Linked DNA regions of Lonchura striata. The protein of the gene in region 1 interacts with the protein of each later gene in a pairwise test. Links are inferred from orthologs where the notes say so. Each region holds a gene or a part of one and is shown on either strand. Other genes may lie near its edges. The genes, in order: RTN1 and UGCG.

Region 1 (11,248 bases):
AATATCCTCACAGCAGCTCTTGGAAGCACTGCTGATTACCTTCAGGTGACAATTGCTTAAGGTATCTCTGGGCACAAAACATTGTTTTTACCAAGCATGTGTTCCCTTTTGTAGCACTTTTCTCAATATTTTCATATTGCAGCAGTTCTGGATCCCAGGAATGGAGGTTGTGCCTCTCAGTTACATTAAAAGGAACAATCTCTTGTGGGTTTTGGAAGGGATTGTGGGTTTTATCTCCAGAGGTCGAGTCTCTGGTACCCTCTGTGCCATGGCAAATTATAAATGAAAACCATTTGAGTCTCCTCCAGCTCACAAGCCGTAATCTTCAGTATCCATGGGTTTCTGGAGATGTGCAAATGGTGCATAATCAACGCTCAAAGCCTGATAAAGGCATGGATCAGCATAAATCAGGACTCAGAAGCCAACCCCTAATGGACTTGCTGAGGAGCTGTGTAATGTACAGAGCACTCTGTGCACAAATACCTTCTGATGTAATGCAAGGGAATGAGAATGCATTAAAAAATCTGATTCTGCATCTCTGGCTGTACCTCTCATGTACCAGCATAACTGTCCTATGATTGACACAATTCTGGCCAGACCTGTGTCTCCCTTTTTTCAGCTTCTCCCTAAGCAAATTTGTGGATATTTTTATTGTAATTATCTTTTTGTTTGCTTTCACTGTTTAACCAGTATCAAACCATTGCCCACATAGACTTCTGGGATGATCTGCTCCGGGCTCACATGGACTGTCTTGTCTCATGCTTTCCTTTCAGCTGGATCATTAACAGTGCAATTAAATAGCACCAGACCCAGTGGTGTCAGTCTGAACATTTTCCTCAGTGGTGACTGGCCTCTGAAACTGCTCTGCCAGGACTCAGAGAAGGAAGTCCTGCTCCATGCAGCTGGGAATGTCTACAGGACAAATTCTAATGTTTCTTCTTGTAGTATCCTTGGGCTGGGCTCCCAGGAGGAGCTCTGTAAAAGGAGGAAAAGATTATTGTTCTGAAGATGCTCCTAAGCAGCACTTGCAGTGGCATGCAGAGATCCTGCTGCCACATGGAGGATGCAAATATCCTCAGATATTGCATGGATTCAGATTCAGACTGCTGGGCCAGCCCCCTCCAGGACAAGGAGCCACTTCAGCAGATGTTGTGTGCTCTAGAGGGGAGTGCAGAGCCTTTCAGACATTGGGGGAGAAATCCAGCTGCCAAGCCCTGCTGAAACAAGGCCAGTGCTGCATGTATTTTGTATATCCCACCTACTCACCTGTCTGCTCTGCTCAGCTCTGTCTCTGCAAAGAGCTTGAAGCTGGGGAGGAGGGAGAACTGGCCATGTTTAGCAGAAGCCTGGGAGGTTTCCTCCTCTCTGACCCCTGCCAGCACCCACCCCACAGCTGTGCCAGGTCACAGGTTTGATAATTTTGCTCTTTGAGCTCCTGATTTCCTTGCAGAGCCATCTTTGCAGAGAAACAGAGGCAATCCCCAGCACTCCTAGAGCAGCTGTGGATGCGCAGGGGATGAAGGATGGAGCAGTCAGTCAGGCTTACCCGGGGAAAGCACCACCTTTAATCACATTGCATTACAACTGGAGGGCTGGAGAAGCTGAAAGCTCTTGTATGATGTGGGAATTAAAGGGCCAGGCAGGGTCTCTGTGCTCTGCTGTGATGCACCCAGCAAACCTCAGAGCAGTGAAAGGAGGTTAAATTACACAGCATGCAGTAAAAATGCTGCTATTTAGACTCTGGTATTTTTGAAATTGCACTTTCTAAAGGTCCAAGGTGAACCAGTCTCCCCATTTTAGTGCATATGGTAAGAGTGGGACTATCCAGATCATTTTAGAGAGCTGCAGTTTTGGACTCAGTACCTGTCTCATCTCTGAAGTTGTTCTCTGCAAAGGGAAGCACTCCCTACACAGCTGTTTGTCTGGGAAAGCTGGAAAGCTGCCATCACACCTGCACCTTCTGCCTTTCCTGGCCTTGGCCCATTTTCCTGGCACTGGGATGCTTGTTCCTGCAGAACAGAGCTGGTCTAAGACCCACAGGCTGGTGCAGACACTCCAAATCCCAAAGCAGTCTGGAACAGGAGCCCGTGGTGGGGCTGTGGGGAAGGTGGGGAGGTGGATGATGCCTTGGAGCTCAGGAGTTTGGGGTGCCTAAGTTCAGAAAAACCTGAAACACTGCCACTATTGTGGGGAGGAAAAGATGAAAAGGACCTTGGAGAAGCTGCCTGGCCCTGCTTCATTGCCAGAGCTTGTGGAGAAGGAGAGGGAGAAGGTGGAAGACCAAAGACCCAAAGGGCTCCCTGGGAAGGATCTGTGTGGACTGAAAGATGATGAAGGGCTCTGCTGTGGGGAGAGCCACCAGCACCCACAGGTCACCTTTTCTCTCAGGCCTTTTGCCTCTCTGCAGTGACAGTTTTGAGTGGTTTGGTTTGCCCAGGAGGAGCTGTATTCTCACCAGCTTTCCAGACTCTCTTTGGGTGTTCCAACACCTCTCTATGCCTTGTAAGGTGGGTGTGTGCCAGTGTAACCCCACAGCACTGGGGCTGCTGGGCTCCCCACCTGTCTGTGTCCAAATGGGATCTGATTGCAGGCTGGGGAAGGGGATTCCTGCCTGCAGGCCAGCCCAGTGCTGTCACACACTGCCAGAGGTTTGTCTGTGTGAGGGTGAGGATGTGAGACACATGGGAAGCAAGGTGGGCTGCAGTGCAGATGTGGAGAACTGAAAAAGAGTCTGGTATCTGCTTCAGTGTTGAAATATTTTCTGTGAGGTAGGGGAGGTTGTTTTACTTATCTTCATTTTCCTATTTATGTGAAAAGCTGCCTTTTTTTTTTTTTTTTTTTTTTTTTTTCCTTTTTCCTGTTGCAATTAATTTATTCTGAAATCTTGAGAATAAATCCTTAAGGAAGAAGAGATGATTTTTTTTTCCATTGCTGAATCTCTTGATATACCCTGCCAGGTCCTGGGCTCTTTGCTGTTAATTTTACATCTGAGACCACAAATTCCCTGAAGGTTCAAAGTCACTTTGTCCCAGCATCATGCAGCATCCCCAGAACACAAAGGGCTATAATGGAAAGAGAAGCAATTTGTGTGTCTGTGTTCTCAGACTTCATACATTCAGAGGTTTATAATGTCCAAAGGGTAGATCAAGGTAATTAAATACCAATAAGCAGAGATAGATGAGCCCTGTGCAGGTCAGTTTGCTACACAATACGATACAAACTACCAGGAGCTTTTGTAAATGCATTGAAAATAGAAAGAATTCGTTTTTGTTCCTTGTGCCACTAACAAACTCACACCTCTCTTAAATAGGTATTAGATTAAATCTTCATCCAGCCTGATTTTCCTGTGGGGAACTTAAAAAACCCCTGTAAATTAACTTCATGCAGGACAGCCCAGGTTGTTCCAAGTTCAAAGTTTTCTCTACAGCATGAAAAATGGACTAATCAAGATTTTTGAGTATTGTCTTGTTGCTCCTGTTGTTTTTTTTTTTTTTTTTTTTTTTTTTTTTCTCACTCCTCCTGGCAAACCAAAGCTTTGCTATCAGAAATGTATGTATCACATCTGTGTGGTCAGTAGGAGCTCAGGGTTTGAATCCAAGGTTTGAAATAAGACTTCTGGTTTTCTCTTGCAATATTACATGGTGATGAGCAGAGTTGATTGTATGGTGAAATAAAATCCTGGGTTGCCTTACAATTGGGATTCCTGAAGCAAAAAAAGAAAAAAAAAATTAAACTATATTTATTTATATACAATTGTAGACTCATTACAGTTGGAAAAGACCTCCAAGACCTTCAAGCCTAACATTTGACCAACCAACTCCCTGTTACTAAACCATGGAGTGCCACCTTCAGACATTGCTTGAACATCTCCAGGCATGGTGACTCCTCTCCAGCCCCTTCCAATCCTTGGCAACCCTTTCCTTGGAGAAGTTGTTCCTGATGTCCAACCTGAACCTCTCCTGGTACAACTTGTGGCCATTTCTTCTTGTCCTGTCCCTGTTCCCTGGAGCAGAGCCCGACCCCCACCTGGCTGCTCCATCCTTCTGTCAGGAGTTGTGCAGAGCCAGAAGGTCCCTCCTGAGCCTCCTTTTCTCCAAGCTGAGCCCCTCCTGTTCCCTCAGCTGCTCCTCATCAGACTTGTGCTCCAGGCTCTTCCCCAGCTCCCTTCCCTCCTCTGCAGCCCCTCAAAGTCTTTCTTGCCATGAGAGGCTCAAAACTCATCACAGGATTTGAGATGCAGCCTCCCCAGTGCCCAGCACAGAGGGACAATCACTTCCCTGGTCCTGCTGCCACATTTTTTTATACAGGCCAGGATGCCATTGACCTTCTTGACCACCTGGGCACTCTGCTGACTCCTGCTTGTCCCCATTTCTACTCAGTAAGCAGAGCACACAGTCCACACTCTTTCTTCTCAGCCTTTTACTGTAGTAACACTGTCTGTGCTCATGGCAGCAGCCTGACATCTCGATAACCCCTTTGGTGTGTGGGAATGAATCACTCCCAGTGGCCGTGTGCACCCATTCTATTAATCTATTAATCAGGTAAACCCTGATGGTATGGGACGGGATTTGCCATTACAGCCATGATGACTAAAATCATTGCTGCTGATCTGCAGCAAACATGTCCTGTCTTGAAATAAAGAAATATAGAAAATCATATGAACCTGGGCATGTTCTTGGCTGTGAGGCTGGTGATGCCCTGGCCCTGGCCCCCCTGCCCACAGCATCTGTGGCAGTGTTCCAGGCCAGCTTGGATTGGGCTTGGAGCAACCTGGGATAATGGAAAGGTGTCCCTACCCATGGCAGGGGGTGGAACTGGATGGTCTTTGGTCTCTTAGGTTCCTTCTATCCCAAACCATTCTAGGATTCTCAGGCAGCAGCAGAATGGAGTGAGGATAAGGGTGACAATTCCCTGAGAAGATAGCACAAATGAGAATCATCAAGGCTACTTTCAAAGCTTTTCATCTTGTATTGTGGCCTTACCCTGGATTTCCTCCCCCCTTGTCTGGAAAAAAGAGGAAACATGTCCAATTTTCAAACCCAAGCATAAAGGTTGCTGTAGGCTGCCTAGGGCTGCTGGGACATACAGATCACAGCTGAGATCCACTCCTGCAACAGGCAGAGAGCCTGTGGGAATGAAATCTTCTGGCTGGGGCAATTATGCTCCACTTTGCAGCTTGACCTGTCGCATGACAAGAGAGAGGCCCTTCTGCAAGGCAGGGAATTTATTTCCTTGATCTGTCTGTGCCAGAACTCTGTGCAATGCAGGAATGATCCCATACCCGTTACCTGAATCCATTTGCTCCTCTGTAAAAGGACAGCAAGGAAACTTGTTCCTTGTTCACCTGAGAAGTAGCACAGATTCTGTGAAAGCACCGACTCTGCTGTGTGCTTTCCCCTTTGCTGTATCTCACGCTGCTGCTCTCCCTGACAGCAAAAATCTCTTGACATTTCTCATCGCCCCGGTACACACACATGATTTTGTGAGGCAGTAAGCAAGCAAATATAACGGCACAAAAAAAAGGGGGAGAAGAAAAAAAAAAAAAAAAGGCACACAGACACCTGCTGCGAGTTTATTTTGACAAGTGCCAATAAGCTGCAAACAGAGAGGAACGAACCGGATAAACAAACGCAGCGCGGCTTCTCTTGCTGGGTTAGGGGCTGGCGGAGATGGGGGGAACGGGCTGATTTTGGGGTTTTAGGGCTTGCTGAGAGCTCCGTGCCCTGCCGGCCGAGCCCGGCGCTGCGGGAGGAGCCGTGCCCGGCTGCGGCGCCTGCGGGATGCTCAGGAGCGCAGGGATGCGGAGGAGGGGGGCTGCGGGAGGGGAGAGGGAGGCGTGTGCCTGCCTGCCTGCCGGGGGGCATTTCTTCCCTTACCCGCACAAGCCGATGCCCACCCTGCTGAAGCAGTTAAACGGGGGAGAGCAGCAGCCCGGCTGGCAGATCCCTGCCCTGTGATATGCCAGCCACAGGGTGACGCAAGGGCTGGAAGGCTCCGGCTAACGAGCCATTTTCACCTGCGTAACAAGCGCCGGTGGAGATCCAGCGGCGGCGGCGGCTCCCGGTCCCCGCAGCCGGCCAGACCCCAGCGCGGCCGCAGCTCCAGCCCAGCCCGGCGGCCACCGCAGCCCTTCCGCTGGCCCCCGCTGCGCCCGAGAGCCGGAGGTCAGCATGTCAGCCCCGCCGGACCCCCAGGACCTGCTGCTGGCCGGCACTGGGCTGCACTGGGCTGCGGACCGGCCGGACCAGTACGCGGCCGGGGCTCCGCTGCGGGATGGAGACGGGGCTGAGCAGCGGGAGCAGCTGGGCTTCGGCTCCGCCAGGGAACACCCGCCCGTTTCCATGGCGACTGCATCCCCAGGTAAAAGGCGAGGGGTACCCAGGGATGCTCAACAAAGGGGGCCCTGGCAGCGGCGTCTCCCGGTTGTCTCCTTCCTGACGCTGCCTCTGTTTTCCTCCCAGCCTGGCTGCTTGGAAACATTGCTAGCGAGTTAGTGAGCGCGTGTAGGGAAACAGAAAATAACGAGGAATTGCGGCCTTTGCAAGTAGTTATTTTTTGCTGATGTGGGGGAGGGGGGACGCAGGAGACAGCCAAGTTCCCTAAAGCTCTTTGCAGTTTGTTAGGCACAAGACAAGCAGATTTCAGGCAAATGTTGAAAGGCATTTGATTTCACCTGAGCTGATGTGGATCTGTCATCATTTGTCATACACCTGTTCACATCTGGAGTGACAGATCTCGATGGACTTACTTCAGCTATCCCCCGTGAACCTGGAATTCCTGCATGGTCACTTATTATTTCAACACGCAGCTTTTAATGGAGTGCCTATTCTGAAGTGTTTGTACATTTTGTGCATGCTTTTGGGACTTGTTCATTTATTTGTGGACTTCTTGCTTGCTGTGTTTTCCACCTTTGGAGCACTGAGGTGTGTTCGACTTCAGGTGCATTCAGTTTAGGGTCTGCAGGTTCATTGATTTTCAGTTTATTTTGGGGATGTGTTCAATTTCCCTTGGTTTGGGGTTGCATTCTTTAGTAGATGTATTAATAGCAGGTGTACAGCTGTTAATGAACCCCAGGAGGCTTCAGCTCTCCATAGCTTCTGGTAGAAATGTTTTGGGGAAAATTATTCTATTTCATTCTTGGGGACAAATCCCTACTTTCTTTCCCACTGTCAGAGAACCCAAACAGCCAGAAGCCCCAGCCCTGGGGGAGCTGATACATCCCATCTCACTGGGAAGTAGATGTTTCCATTACAGATCCTGAAGCATTAAACTTGTCTTGAGTAAGCTGAGGGTCAGGGCTCGGGACAGGAATCGATCTCTGTTATGCAATAGCTGCAGGAGCATTAGGAACTGCGTTTTTGGGCTGAGTCCCTTCTAATCCCCTCCAGTCAATCAGCACAAAATTTAGCTGGCTCTGCTCATACCCACACGGGTGGTTTCGTGGGGTCTGGGTGTGCGTCGGTGCCCGTGGTGCTCCCGACATGGATGTTCCCCTGTCTGCTGGATGTGACCGAGCTCAGGGGTAGAAGGATCTAACACCCCTCAGCTGATGTGGGAAATGTTTTGCTGTTTTGTAGCTCTGGGCAGGCAGCTGATCTGCTGATGTGCTGCTCATTCGCTGAGCTGAGTGTCGGGGTGTGAAACGTGACTTTTACTGGAGGCAGGGGCAGAGGGCTGGGGATGTCAGGCTCTGGGAGTGTGTGTGAAGAGGGGCAGGATTGTGGTCACCAGGTAGGGCTGCCTCAACCATATAATGACACGAAGAAGAGGGGAAAGGAATCTTGTGAGCTTTTTATTTTTTTTGTTCACTGATGGATAAAAATACGGCCATGCTGAATCTTAGCATACAGAACAAAGAGGGGTGGTCTCTTAAACTGTGTAAATCACTATTAAATGGAAACACTGTGAAACTGCTTGCAATTAATGGAGGCTTCTTCAGGCTTGACATGGCTGTAGATTTACACTTGGAGAATGCAGAATAGAGAGACAGAAAGAAAAGAAAAAGGAGAAAGAAAAGAGAAAAAAAGGAAAGAAAGACAAAAAAAGAAAAAGATGAAAAGAATTTTTTAGCTTTTGGAGTCCTCTGCAAAGGGGTTTTAGATGTGTTTGCTTGTGTCAAACTGTGACAGGGTGGAGGCAAAGTGAGTGATACAGATATTTCTTTGGTGTTTGCTGGCTGTGGACTCCCAGACTGTCAAATCAGCAGTACTGTAAGAGTAGTAGCGTGCTTTAAACGTTTCCCATTTTGTTTTCCCTGTTCAATAAAGAGCAGTTGTGTGGCTGTGTGCGTGTCTGGCCGACCATGGCAGACAGAGCAGCATCCCAGGCAGTGCAGCCCTGCAGTCTCCCTCTGTTTGTGGCTGCAGCAGCTGTATTTCTGTTCCACACTACCTAGAGAGCCACGACTCCCGCCCCCTTCACCGGGGGAACTAAATAATTTCCTTGTTCTCTCTGTGTGACTAAGTATTCATAAGTTTCTGAATAAGAAGACTGTCATATTGTTGAATATCTGAAACTGTCAAGCTTTTTCTGAGAACTCTTTATTTCTCCTGCTCAGAGAGAGATTCCTGCCTATTCCTAAGCCATAGGAATGGACCCAGCAGGAGATGCACAGCTCCAGCTTTTTTACAACACTGCCATAATCTGCCATAAACTCAAACCCTCCTGACACAATGGGCTATCTGGGGACAAGGAGCAATCCATCCAACCAAACAAGAGTGAATTGGACAGAATAATTTTCAGGTAGTTTCCCCAGCACATCCTGTATCTTCCTCCACACCTGTCAGACCGGTCTTTTTTTTTTTTTTTTTTTTTTGGTGAAAACCATGGTTATGCTTTCTGAGGCAAGAGCAGGGTCTGGAGTCTGGGAGATTCTCTCAGCATAAAAATAACTGAAAGCAAATGGGGGTAGTTTATCACAGGTTGTGCAGATATTTTCTTATACAACCTAAAAATTTGCAAACTTTCCCCGATCTTGGCTTTTGTTTTAAGTTTGAAAACCAGCCAGGGATTGTTGAAAGGTTCAGGAATATTTTCAAGCTGGCCTTGGGCCCAGCTTTGAGCCAAGCTGGCTTTGTGTCAAAACCTGGTGAGTGGTTTCTGAATGATGAAAAGCAATGGATTTCACTCCCCATTCTTTGGATCAACCAAAATCAGCAGTGATTGAGACTGCAGAAAAAAATTCCCACGAGGAGTGGAAAGCTCAGAGATTTCTCAAGCAAAGTCAGGGCAACAGGAAGCTGCAGATCCCACATCAGCCTCTCCTCTTGCAGGCCTCCAATGAAGATCAACTCCAGTAGCTTCTGATCAGGGATAAGGCTGTTTCTCTTGTTTCATTTCTTGGCCCTTGAATTTTGCTGAAAATATCTCTCTTCCTCAAATACCTCAAAGTTTTCCTCCTTCCCAAAAACGAATTTGGTTCAGGGTGAGAGGACCTTGCAGGCACGTCTTGCAAGGACTGGTGAGGGAAGTGGTCCTTAAGGGCTGGTGAGGAATTACATGTTGGTGAAGAGAGCCCCATGTCACCCAACACACCATCTGGTCACAGATTCTGTTATTTTATTTTTATGCACCAACAGTGATTAAAATCCCTTGAGAGGAATTATTTCCAAAAATATTACACAGGCTGACAGGCGTTCCCCAGGATAAATACATATGGTTTCCTCCAGAGAAATGGCAAAATGGTACAATGGACTGTACCTCCATGCTGGACGTGTTCTGCAGGGAAAAATAGCAGGGAAAAGCCAGGAACTCACACAAATGGTGATTCCTGTGTAAGGATCTGGGAAATTTCATGCAGCCTGGTGCATGGGTGGCTATCTGCAGGGTGATACATTAGTGGTGTTATGCCCCTGAGGTTAGAGAGCTGCCAGCTCACGTTCACTCCAGGCAGTCAGACAGGCCACAGCAGTCAGGACATCCCTGGAAATCCTGGCCCATTTCCAGCTGCCTCCAAAGTCAGGTCCAGCTGCCCACAGGAGAGGAGGCCAGTGCCACAGGGGATGGCATGAATAACTGGGACATGGCTATGGGGGCATGATGGGATGGGGAATATGGCCTGTGGGAACCCTTCTGGAACAGCATCCAGGGGGTGGCTGGGATCTCCTGGGGCGCCTCAGTGGCGTGGAAGCCCTGGGAGTAACAGCACCCATTTGGTGTGTGCCAGGGAGGGACTCAAAGCTGCTCGGGTGCAGCAGATGAGTTGGGGAACAGCCTCTGCCTGCTGGGGAGCAGTGGGAGACCAAACTCCAGGAGTGTTTAATGCTCTAATAGGGGCAGATATAAGACAGAAGACTGTGAGGGGTTTTAGCTCCCATTGCTCCATGATGAGGACAATCTGTAATGCCAGTGCTTTAAGTAAAGACCTTTTCAAAACCCCTTTCTAATTCACATGATTTGTAGAGGCTGGGTTTGAAGCTGTGTGCTGTGTACCCACATGTTCTCAGCATGAGCTTACCCACCAACCCAATCCCCTGCAGTGAGGTGCTCCTGCCATAAGCCTCAATTCCACTGATAATGCTGCACCAGTGAATCTCAGTTCATGGTTTCTCTCCAGTTGCTGGCAGCTTTGCACCTCGGCATGAAAGAGATTTCTGATGGTTTTCAGGCAGGTTGAGAACCCCGTGGTTCACCTGGCTGGAGAGAAGTAGGCATGGACATGAATGTCTGCACTGCTTGGGTTGGGCACTGACACTTGGGGTGTCAGATCATGGACAAAGGCAGCAGATTCCCCAAGACAACTGGCTCTTTGTGGCCTTCCCACCCCTTCCCAGGTGTTGCTCTAGGAATATTCCCTCTCCCCAAAAATCCATAGCAATGTGCTGCTCTAAGCCACCACACTGGAAAGGCTAAGGCACAAACCTTAATTTTTTAAGTTGCTGTAGAAAGGTCTTGGTGGATTCACTGACCTAAACATGACACAAGGGAGCATCAGCAGGTGTTTGGAAATGTGTCCTGAACTGCCAGGCAATCCTGCTCAGATTGAACCACCTGGGGCCAGATTTAGTCTTGCTTTGGAAGAATATATATTGATGTCAATACTATTATCAACACTTTAGTCTTTTCAGATTTAGAGAATTGAATTTAGTTTTTCTCTGCTGTCTGGATTAGCCACTCACAACTTCTGATCTACTGCTGTGAGTGAAGGGGACAGAGATCATTTGGTGGAGGTTCTCCCCATTCCCTGGTGTTTTGTTAGTGCAAACAGATTTTGCAGAGGGACAGAAACAAAGAGGATTTCTTATTGGAT
Region 2 (10,580 bases), on another chromosome or scaffold:
GATATTAAAGAAATGGACATAGCACTTGGTGCTAAGACTTACTTGACGAGATGGTGATCAGTCAAAGGTTGGGATCAATGATCTTGAAGGTCTTTTCCAACCTAGATGTTTCTGTGCTTCAAACTTATTCAAAGTAGAGAAAAGAGGTGGAAAGAACCAGATTTTGCAAATACAGAATGGAAGAACAGTACCTTAGATATCCAAACCCTACAACTTCAAATGCAAGTACAGCATGAATCATTGCAAAAGAAATATTGTCTTGATCTTAATCTCAACAACTGCTGAAAGTATTTCAAGACAAAAAAGCTTACTTTTTTTTAATAACTCCATTTATCTACTTAATTCACACATTCTAAGTGCTTTGCTATATCAAACTTCTTAAATACCAATGGGAAACAATAGAAGGATGACTGTCTAGTCCACAACAGCTTTACTGACACGTTACAATATTATCTTAATACTCCAGTGGCACAGAGGGGACCTTCCAACTCACCAATACAGCATGGCTAGACACAGTGTAGATTGAGCACAAGCAGTACCTCAATGACTTCAGAAAAATTAAACCAGCAATACTGTCTGTAAGGAGAAAACAGGAAGACTAATTCCTTTCATCCTTCTCCTTTACTGCCTATAATAGGAACAATGTGTTATTCAGTAGATGCCAAATATCATCTAGTTCTAGTCTAATACTGCATTCTCCAACATAAAAAGCAGTTTCTGTCCATATGTGAAGATCCTTTCCTACCTCAGGGGTCTCAGAAAGGGTGCAGTGTCTGCCATCCAGAATAAAACTAGTCTCTATGAGATGAAGGGCACTAGTAACGGTGTCCAGCCACCAGCATTTTCAGCCATAACACCAGCAATCATCTTTTATCTGGAGCCCTTTCCCCATAAACAAGCTCCAGCATTTAACGCAAATACCACTGATCAACTCCTTCACCTTCCCTTCACAGAACTTTCTTTCTTGCAGGACCAAGCTATTCCTCCATGTACAACTCCATCAGACAACCTCCCAGCCATCCCCCCTCACACAGGGCAATGCTAACAAGTGGCACAGGCTCCAAATGCACCAGCACAGTGCCCTCTCCAGCCATCAGCAACATCCCATCAGCTACTGTTTCTCATCACCACCACAGATGCTGCAAGGACAGTTGCTTGGGATGGTGTCCCCCACTTCTAAATTTTCACTTCAAAGGGCAAGTGTGTGGTCACACCATGGGGAGCTGTGGTCCTTTTTCCTCAGATGTACAGAATCACTGTAACCAGGGCAGCTCCTCAAAAACTGCTTGTGAACCCAGAACAGTTTGCAATTTGGTCACCTCAGTGCTACCAGCTGCTCACCTCCAACAGAGGGGCACTGTTTTGCACCAACTACTAAATACACCCATTGCCACCAGCCCATTACTCTGTCAAAGACAGCTCCTGACTCTGGCCCTACTGAGATGGCAGTTCCAGAGCCCTGCTGAAAGCAGACCAGGGGCCTCAGAGGCTGAGATTAGATCACCCCACTTTTTACCCACTCCATCCACAACTATTTTTTGGACAAGTTTTCCACCTGTTAACACACAATTTATACATGCACTTGTAATAAAAAACACAATTCCTTCCAGATTTCACACCACTGCAAATATTCTAGAATGCAGGCCATACCTAGTCCAGCTGCTGCCTGCATTCCCCACCAATTACTGTCACAGGCAAAACTGCCTCAACTCAGGCAATTCAATTTAAACTACTGGCAATCATCAGGCAACTAATTATCAATTTGGGTATTGAGGAAAACAAGACAACCTAACTTTCAGGGAAGTACCTTTTGTCCTCCTTCTCCAGGCTCTGCTTCAGTAAGAAACATTTCCCCCTCACCCTCCTCTCTGAACTGTTCATTTGCATGGTTCCTTACACTCAGTCCCTCCCCAGCCCTTCAGCAAGATGACACAGGAGGCAAGGGTCAGCACATAATGGTTTTTCTGCCATGACTTACTTCTTACTCATTTTCTTCCATCTTCCACTACTGGTTGTGTCTTAAACTGCTACTCTGCTCTAGCAGGTGTAACTGTTCAGGAATGACTGATGTACAGGTTGCAATCCCTTTGGCAGAGTCTGTGCTCCAGTATGGGCCTGCCATGGGCTGCAGTTTCCTCAGGGGAGAGTCAACCATGGCGCTGCAGCCCCTCAGGGCGTCTCTACACCAGCACGGGTTGTCCACAGGTTACAGTCCATTCAGGAGTACCTTACCTGAAGCCCAGAGTGCACTCAGGAGTGTCCCTGCTCCAGTTCTGCCCCCAAAGGAGGCAGTTCCTTTGAGGGGGTAGCTCCTGTGGCATTGACTGCCCAGAAGTGTACCCTTCCCTCTAGCTCTTCCCTGCTCTGTCTTCTCACATCTCTTAGCATATCTCATCATTCTGCCTCCTATTCACCCTCTTGCACATCTTCCCTATTTGTGTCTCCTGCCCATTTCAGTGGTCACTTATTCATAAAAGCACCACACATGCTCACTTGGCAGGTTGAGATTTAAGCACGCGATAGATAGTTTTAATCATCTCTAAAGTCAACCAAAATCAGCCATGCCCAAAGTAGTCTCTTCCCCCACTAAGCACACTTTCTGCCCCCCCAGTACTGAAATCACACCATTTGTGTCCAAGGTAACCCATACAGATAGTTTTCAAGAGAGAAATTAATTATCCAAGTGAATATAAGATCTAAGGATAACTGAACTATAGCAAAAGAAAATAAAACTCTTAGAGCTTATTAGTGACTTTGTATTTTAAAAAACAAATCACCCCCCCAGAAAAAACCACAACAACAAAACCACTAAAAAAAAAAAAAGGAAAAAAAAGGAAGGTGTTCATAGGTTCAATTTTAAAGTGTTAGTGGGCCCAGTCTTGTTTAACTTATACATCAATGACTTGGATGAAGGGGCAGAGGCCTGCTCAGCAATTGCACTGACAACACAAAGCTGGGAGCAGTGGCTGATACCCCAGTGGCTGATACTCCATGGACCCCAGGTCCTTCAGAAGGACCTCAACAGCCTGGAGAGATGGGCACAGAGGAACCTTCTGAAATTCAGCAAAGGCAAATGCAGGATCCTGCACCTGGGGAGGAACAGCCCCAGGCACCAGCACAGCCTGGGTGTGACCTGCTGGGAAGCAGCTCTGTGGAGAAGGAGTTGGGGGTCCTGATGGGCAACAAGCTCTCCACGAGCCAGCAGTGTCCTGGTGGCCAAGAAGGCCAGTGGTATCCTGGGCTGTATTATGAAGAGCATCGCCAGCAGGTCAAGGGAGATGAACCCTGACCCTTGTCTCAGCCTTGGCTCCTCACCTGGAATCCTGTGTCCAGTTCTGGGGTCCCAAGTAAAAGGGAATAAAAAGAGTATCCAGCAGAGACCTCTGAAAATGATTAAGGGATTGGAGCATCCCTCATATGAGGAAAGGCTAAGGGAAAATAGATGTTGAAAATAGATGACTGAGAGGGGACCCCATAAATGTCTGTGAGTATCTGAAGGCAAAGTGCCAAGAGGATGGATCCAGGCCCTTCTCAGTGGTGCCAAGCAATAGGACAAAAGGCAGAAACTGATACACAGGAAGTTCCACTTGAATACGAGGAAGGACTTTTTTACTGTACAGGTGACTGAGCAGGAACAGGTTGCCCAGAGAGCTTGGGGACTCTCCCTCACCGGAGATATTCAAGAACTGTCTGCACTTTAGGATTAACAAGAATGACTGGACCAGATGATCCACTATGATCCTTTCCAATCTGACCCATTCTGCGAGCTTTGTTTCAGTCAGGGCTGAGGTTTATCACAGGTACCTATCATATGCAGTAGAGCGGCAAGAAAGGAGAACAGATAAGCACAAGGAAAGCAAACAGAAATTCAGGTATTTTCTAATCCTAGTAGTGATGCAAGAATGGCCTTTTACTTAAGAAAGCAAAACAACTATCTAAAAAGAGATGCATTCTTAATCCTTTCCCCACTTACCCATAGAAAATTCCTCTGTCAGGTTCTATCTGTTTCATCAGTCACTAAAATGCAAACACTGCTCACAACTCTAAAGGCATTTTATCTTGGACTTATCCAAGAAGGATCTGACTCACTACATATACTTGTTTTACTAGTACTATCGTTATTTCTCAATACAAAAAAAGAAGTGTGCTTATGGCTGGCACAGAGTACTGTGCTCTTTCAGTTGTTCCACCTTTGCAGTCAAACATCATGCCTTTTCTAAGTCCTGTGCACCCTGCTCTCTCACCACCACCAGTAAAGTTAAGTGTACATCACTACACAACAAACACCAAGCCTTCCCCAGCAGCACCAAGGGCAACGGAGCAAAGATCGCCGCACAGAGCAGGAGGCAGAAAACCAGCAGACGGTTTTTACCCGAAGACGACGGCAGGGACACAGCCATGCCCTAAGCACGGCCAGCCCGACGCCCGGGTGTCCCGGCGGGGTCTGCGGGAGCCACATCGCAGGCAGGCAGGCGAGTCCCCGGCCTGACACCCGGGGCAGGGGAGCCGCCGGCCCGGGGCGGAGGCGGCGCGGCGGACGGGGCCCGCTGCCCGGCCGCCCCGGGAGCGATGGCGGGTGGGTGACGGAACAACGCCGGCGCCATCCCCCCGCACCCCAGCGCTTACGTGTAGATGATGGACATGAAGTGCATGAGCCAGAGAACGACGAAGAGGATGAGCCCAAAGATGGCGAGCCCCTCCGAGGCCAGGGCCAGCACCGCCATCCCCGGGGGCGCGGCGGCCCGGGCAGGAGCCGGCGGTGGAGCGGAGCGAGGTTGCTGCGGGGGCGCGGGGCCGGAGGAGGGAAGCGGGGCGCGGGGCCGGAGGAGGGAAGCGGTGCGCGGGGCCGGAGGTTGCTGCGGGGTGCGGGGCCGGAGGAGGGAAACGGGGTGCGGGGCCGGAGGAGGGAAACGGGGCGCGGGGCCGGAGGAGGGAAGCGGGGCGCGGGGCCGGAGGAGGGAAGCGGGGCTCGGGGCCGGAGGTTGCTGCGGGGCTCGGGGCCGGAGGTTGCTGCGGGGTGCGGGGCCGGAGGTTGCTGCGGGGTGCGGGGCCGGAGGTTGCTGCGGGGCTCGGGGCCGGAGGTTGCTGCGGGGTGCGGGGCCGGAGGTTGCTGCGGGGCTCGGGGCCGGCTCCGGGGGCGCCGCTGCTGCTCCGCACCGGCCTGCGCGCGGCAGCGCCCGCGCACCGAGACCGCCGCCGCCTTTCTGTCAGCGCAGGGGGCGGGGCGGGCGGGCACATCCGTTACCGGCCCGGCCCCGCCCGCCGCCGCCGCCTGACCTTGGGCGCGTCCCCCGCGGGCCGCCGAGGGAGGTGCGCGCCGCGGCGGCGGGCGGGTGTGCCCCGCTCCGGCCGCCGGGAGGGGTGCGGGCGCGGCAGGAGCGCTGGCTCTGTATCGTCCAACTTTGGTGTTGGCCGCTGAGGAGACCGCAGTCCTTTATACACGGAGAAGGGGATCGGGGGTAGACGGATATTGCCGGTGCCGCCGAGCATCTCTGAGGAGAGGCTGTGGGAGCTGGAGCTGTTCAGTCTGGAAAAGAGAACACTGAGAGGATCTCATTAATACATATAAATATCTCAAAATCAGGTGCCAAGACTCAAGGTGCCAGAGTCTTTTCGGCGAGGCCCAGCGACAGGACAGGGAACAGTGGCCATAAACTAAATCAGAAGTTCCACCAAGAAGTTCCTCTCAACGTGAGAAAGTACTTCTTTACACAGGTAGAGCACTCGGACAGGCTATGCAAGGAGGTCATGGAGTCTCTTTCTCCCGAGACATTCCAAACTCACCTGCACTTGTTCCTGGTTCACCTGTTCTAGGTGACCCTGCCTTGGCAGGGGTGGTGGATGGGATGATCTCCAGAGGTGTCTTCCAACACTAACTGTTCTCTGGTTCTGAGATCTAGTGTGAGGGGGGCTGATAAAAGGCTGTATGGCCTTTGTTGTTTTTCTTTGTTCCTTTTCAGTCTGAACACTTTCTTGGTGATGTACTATATCTAGCATAGGTGTGCATCTGTGAGTTGCCGGCAGCGCTGAACTCTGTGAGTCAGAGATCTGCTCCAAGGACTGGGGCAATTCCAACACTCATACTGCCATCTGTGGATCCCAAGCAGTGCTAAAGCAACCTGGTGACTACCAGCTTTGGCTACGTTTGAGTTAGTGTCCAGTTAATGAAAGAGTCAGTTGCTCATTACTAATCCTCTGAGCCAGCTATTCTTGCCTTTATTTCATTACAGTGTTTATGGCAATTCCTATTACTGTCATGTGGCTCCATTTATTTTTGAGGGGTTTCATAGGCAGAAACCTCCCAACACTTCTGCTTTCTTTTACAGTTCAGCATTTTTGATCTGGGGTCAGAAATATCAGTTTATCTTTTTTTTTTTTTTTTTTTCTTATTGTGTAATAGGCAAACATGCATTGTATTAACTGTTTTAAATTAAACTCCATTAAACTGGGGTATGCAGTGAGAGGACAAAATGACTTGACTGGCTGTGCCTTGACTATACTGAACTTGCCAGAATAAGCATAGCTTTACATAAAAGACTATGTTTACCTGTACATAAGAAGGCATACTTTTTCTCAGTAGTCTTCACCAATAACACAAGCTGAATATTGCAGTGTATGCATGTTCTCTAATAGTTGTTAGTTTTATTCCTCCACTGCTCTCTCTTACTAATGTAGGTACAGGAGTGTTCCTAAATTCTGCTAGAACTCAGTTGTGGTTTTGAAAAGTATCCTAGTCACCACAATAGCTGTAGAAAGAATTTGGTTTCAAGTTAGCTCTAGCTGTATGTCAGAAGTTAAGATATAGTAATTTAAAGGCAACTTAAAAAGGTATCTCACCTGGTGTGGAATTGACCAAATTAATAATTTAAAACTAAAAGCGAAAAGCTACTAATAACTGGTAATAACAGGTGAGGTATCAGTCCATTCTAGTGTGAATACTGCCTGTATAATCTGTTAGTTCCTGGTTAATGTTAGTTTCCACATAAATAAATCATGGGGCCAGCAACATGCCTTTTCACTGGCTTCAGTGATTTCTTATTATAACTTCCTTAAAAATAACTTTTCAAGTAAAACAAATTACCTTAATTTTCAAATTCCCCTATTGTGTTTGTATGTCATTTGTAACTGAAAGTGGCAGGTATTTTTTCTATTTGTTCCTTCATTTAGAGTCTAATGATCACATTTATATTGATTTAAGATTGCCTCAATGAGCTTTATAGGAATTTTTTAGCTGTGATTTAAATTGCCATGCTCAATGTTGGCACAGTCACAAGACTCAAAATAGTTGAGTTAGAGAATTCAGAGCTGATACGTATTAATTGTTGGAATATAGCTCATATGACCTTTACCTCCATCTTGCTTGCATCTCTCTTCTAAGGCAGAAACAGCCTATGCAAAAGAGTATCTTGGTTTAAAATATGACAGTACAGGGAATTCAGGAAGATAGAGGGCCTGCTGCCAGTAATCAGTAAAGCAAATAATCTGAGTTTATTAAACTGAAGCAGTAAAGCTTATTTTTTTGTGCTCGAAGATGTTTGCCTGCAAGATTAGATTGAGATGCTGCTTATTGTGCAATAGGTAGGGTCAATGACTCCTTGCAAACAAACTTTGCTGAGGCTTCTTCATAAATAAGATGAATAGAGGTACTGACTCCTGTACTTCAGCCAGCCATACTGATGAATGAGCCGTCCTCAAGCAGTGTTCCACGGGGAAACACCAAGCTAGTACAAATAACTTTGTCCAGAAAAGGATCCACCTTTATGTCATCCTCTCTGGGATGTCATTCTGCCCTCTGGTTATATGAGGAGAAAGAACTCTCTCATGAGGTATTTAAGGTAAAAAGTTGCAGCACTCAATTTTCACGTTGGTGTAAGGTTTAAAACCAGAGTCTTCAGTATACTTTCAGGATTGTAATGGAGGAGAATCAGGGATGGTAAAGCCTTCAACCTGAGCAACTTCTCTTGTAAAATTTGCTGCCACATGGATTCTTTCAGCAGGTATATTAAGATTAGTAGGGGAGCAAAGAGTAAAGGGTGCCTAAAGCATGGGACTGCCTGGAGTTGTGACAGTTCAGTAGTATGGGATGTACACTTGGTCTTCCCTCTGTAAGTGTGGAGTGCAACAATTCACAAAGAGAAGTGTTCTTCAAGCAGGGCAAATCTGCCTACTGAAACGTACCTCATTATGCCTTGGGGCAGGATACACCCTGGTGTTTTAATCAAGTGCTTGGGACTTAATGCAAATGTGTGCTATGTTTAAATTAAAAACAAAATTAGCCCTCCCATGTGCTATAAAGCTGCTGTTCTTGGTTCACTCATCATTTTGCCAAAATATTGATTAATTTTAACAATGTTTGAGTGTAGTTTGTTGTAGGTTGAAAAATATTTAATTAATACAAATCTTCATCATAAAGGCCTGAGGTGACCTAGATATGAGACTTGTTCCAACAGCAAAAATTATGCAATAGAAACACTCGTGTAATTTTGAACTGATAAAAAGGGATAAATATAATTATTTAACAAAGGAACAATAGTGGATTAATCTGTAGTGATACCGGTATTAATGCTGAGAAGGCTGTGGAAACAAAAACCACTGATATTTCTCTTACTGGTATACCTATGAAAGGTTTTAACCCTATACAGACCTCCCAGTTTTCTTCTCAACCATCAGTTTCTGTTGAAAACCATTGCTTACATAAGCTTTGGAGACAGAAAATTGATCTAAGTCTCCATCCTCAAATGACAAGACAGTTTGTCACCTGGATTTCAGTTAAAATTGTATTTAAAATGTGCTGAATTGCTATTTCAGAATTTGTATTAGTGTTTCCAAGTATGTTTTTCCCAGTTCACTTTACTATTACTGTTTCTGTTTAGAATGGCATCACTGAAGTTCTGAGCAAATAGAGGGCAAGAATAAATTTGCTTTCTCTTGCTTATGTGTAATTTTCCTTATGAAAATATAAAATATGGGGAGAGACAGTGGAAGTTTTCTCTTTGCTTAATGATTAGATCCATTAATGCATCTACACTCTGAAAATGCTTTGGAAAATATTTCATTATAAAGAGAGCATGCATTGGTAAGGATTGTGTGTCTTCAAAACTTGGTTATAGTAATTTAAACTCTGAGATGTCTGTCTTCTTTTGTTAAAAATCCACTTTTGTTCATTTTAATTAAATCAAAGAAATGTGTGTATTACAGCTATGCATTTTTGTTACTATATAAATACTCCGCCTTGCATCTTCCTCTTAAATGTTTACGTTATTAATAAAGTTCACACTTATTAGTTGGATTTGATACAGAAATCTATGCAATTGCTTGTTAGCCTCCATGTCTGAGTTCAGAACTTACATTTAAGTCCTAGAGCACTTGCACATATAAAAGCCTGTCTAGCAGGGGCAGGAGAGAGACCAAAAAAGAGACAGTTCCACCAGTGTCCTCTTTGTTTGGCAGTAGCAAGCAATCTGACCTGCATGTGTGAAGTGGCTTGTGAGGCTTAACAAATGCAGTTCTAGTTAGCCCTTAACACAGACTTTATCTTGTCTGTTATTGTGTCTCAAAAAAATTGAACACCAGAAAAATCAGAGACCAGAGCTCTTATGCCCAAAGGTTGAAAAAGTTAAAGCTACAGGTTGCAGTGAAACCTCCAAGTACAAATCTGAAAGGAATAAAGCCTCAGTACTTTTGATCTTCAGAAATAATTTTGTAATAGAACAGGAAAGCAGTATTTAAAAAAGAACTCAGATGTTTCAGGTACATGTATTTTCCTTGACAAGTCGATCCAGGCTGATTAACCTATAAACCTCCCAAATATTGCTGTTGGCAATAATTAGGCTTATGCACTCAGCATTAAATTGTGGAATACTTGGAGAATATTTACATCTAGATGACCAAGGTAAATAATTTTGCAGAGTCACAGAATAATTTGGTTTGGAATAGACCTCTGGAGATAATTTATTCCAACTTACTGCTTGAACAGGGTCATTGAAAGTAATTTGCTGAGTTTGGAGTCATCTCCATCTTCATTACTCCACCCAACTAGGTATTTGTGCACATTGGTAACATTCCCCCAGGGCCTTCTGCAAGTTGAACAATCCTGACACTTCTGTCACTCCTCATATGTCAGATGCTTCAGTATCTGTCATCTTTGTGACCCTCAGCTAGTCTATTTCCATGCTGCTACATGCAGTGGCAATGCACATAACAATGAAAGCCAGGATAATGTTGGCCTTCTTTGTCTAAAGGGTGCATTGCTGCTTATGGTCAACTTTGTGTCCACCAGCACCCCAGGTCCTTCTCTGCAAAGCTGCCTTCCAGAGAGTTTGCCCTCAGTGTGTACTGCTGCCTTGGGTTGTTCCTCCCCAGATGCAGAACTTGTAATGTTCTTCCTAGAATTCTACATTAATTCCATGTAGTTTTTGTCAGCCTGTCAATCAGTCATCCAGACTGTCAAAATCCCACTGAATTTCAATCCATGCATGTATGTTATCAGCCACACCTTCCAGTTTTGTATCATTTGCAAACTTTCTGAGGGTTCAAACAGTACTGGCCCCTCTATTGACACTTGATGCATTTCAATAGTG

What was found.
Region 2: the proteins of RTN1 (region 1) and UGCG interact in a two-hybrid assay, tested with the Homo sapiens proteins (2 studies listed by BioGRID and IntAct). The link is inferred for Lonchura striata from reciprocal best matches to the Homo sapiens genes RTN1 and UGCG.

What each region holds. Positions count from the first base shown.
Region 1 is NC_134608.1:5,408,929-5,420,176, reverse strand, and holds the start of RTN1 (reticulon-1), read left to right. Parts: upstream 1-6,155; 5' UTR 6,156-6,170; coding exon 6,171-6,360; intron 6,361-11,248. UniProt on the Homo sapiens protein: Inhibits amyloid precursor protein processing, probably by blocking BACE1 activity.
Region 2 is NC_134642.1:61,621,090-61,631,669, reverse strand, and holds the start of UGCG (ceramide glucosyltransferase), read right to left. Parts: upstream 4,738-10,580; 5' UTR 4,725-4,737; coding exon 4,627-4,724; intron 1-4,626. UniProt on the Homo sapiens protein: Participates in the initial step of the glucosylceramide-based glycosphingolipid/GSL synthetic pathway at the cytosolic surface of the Golgi.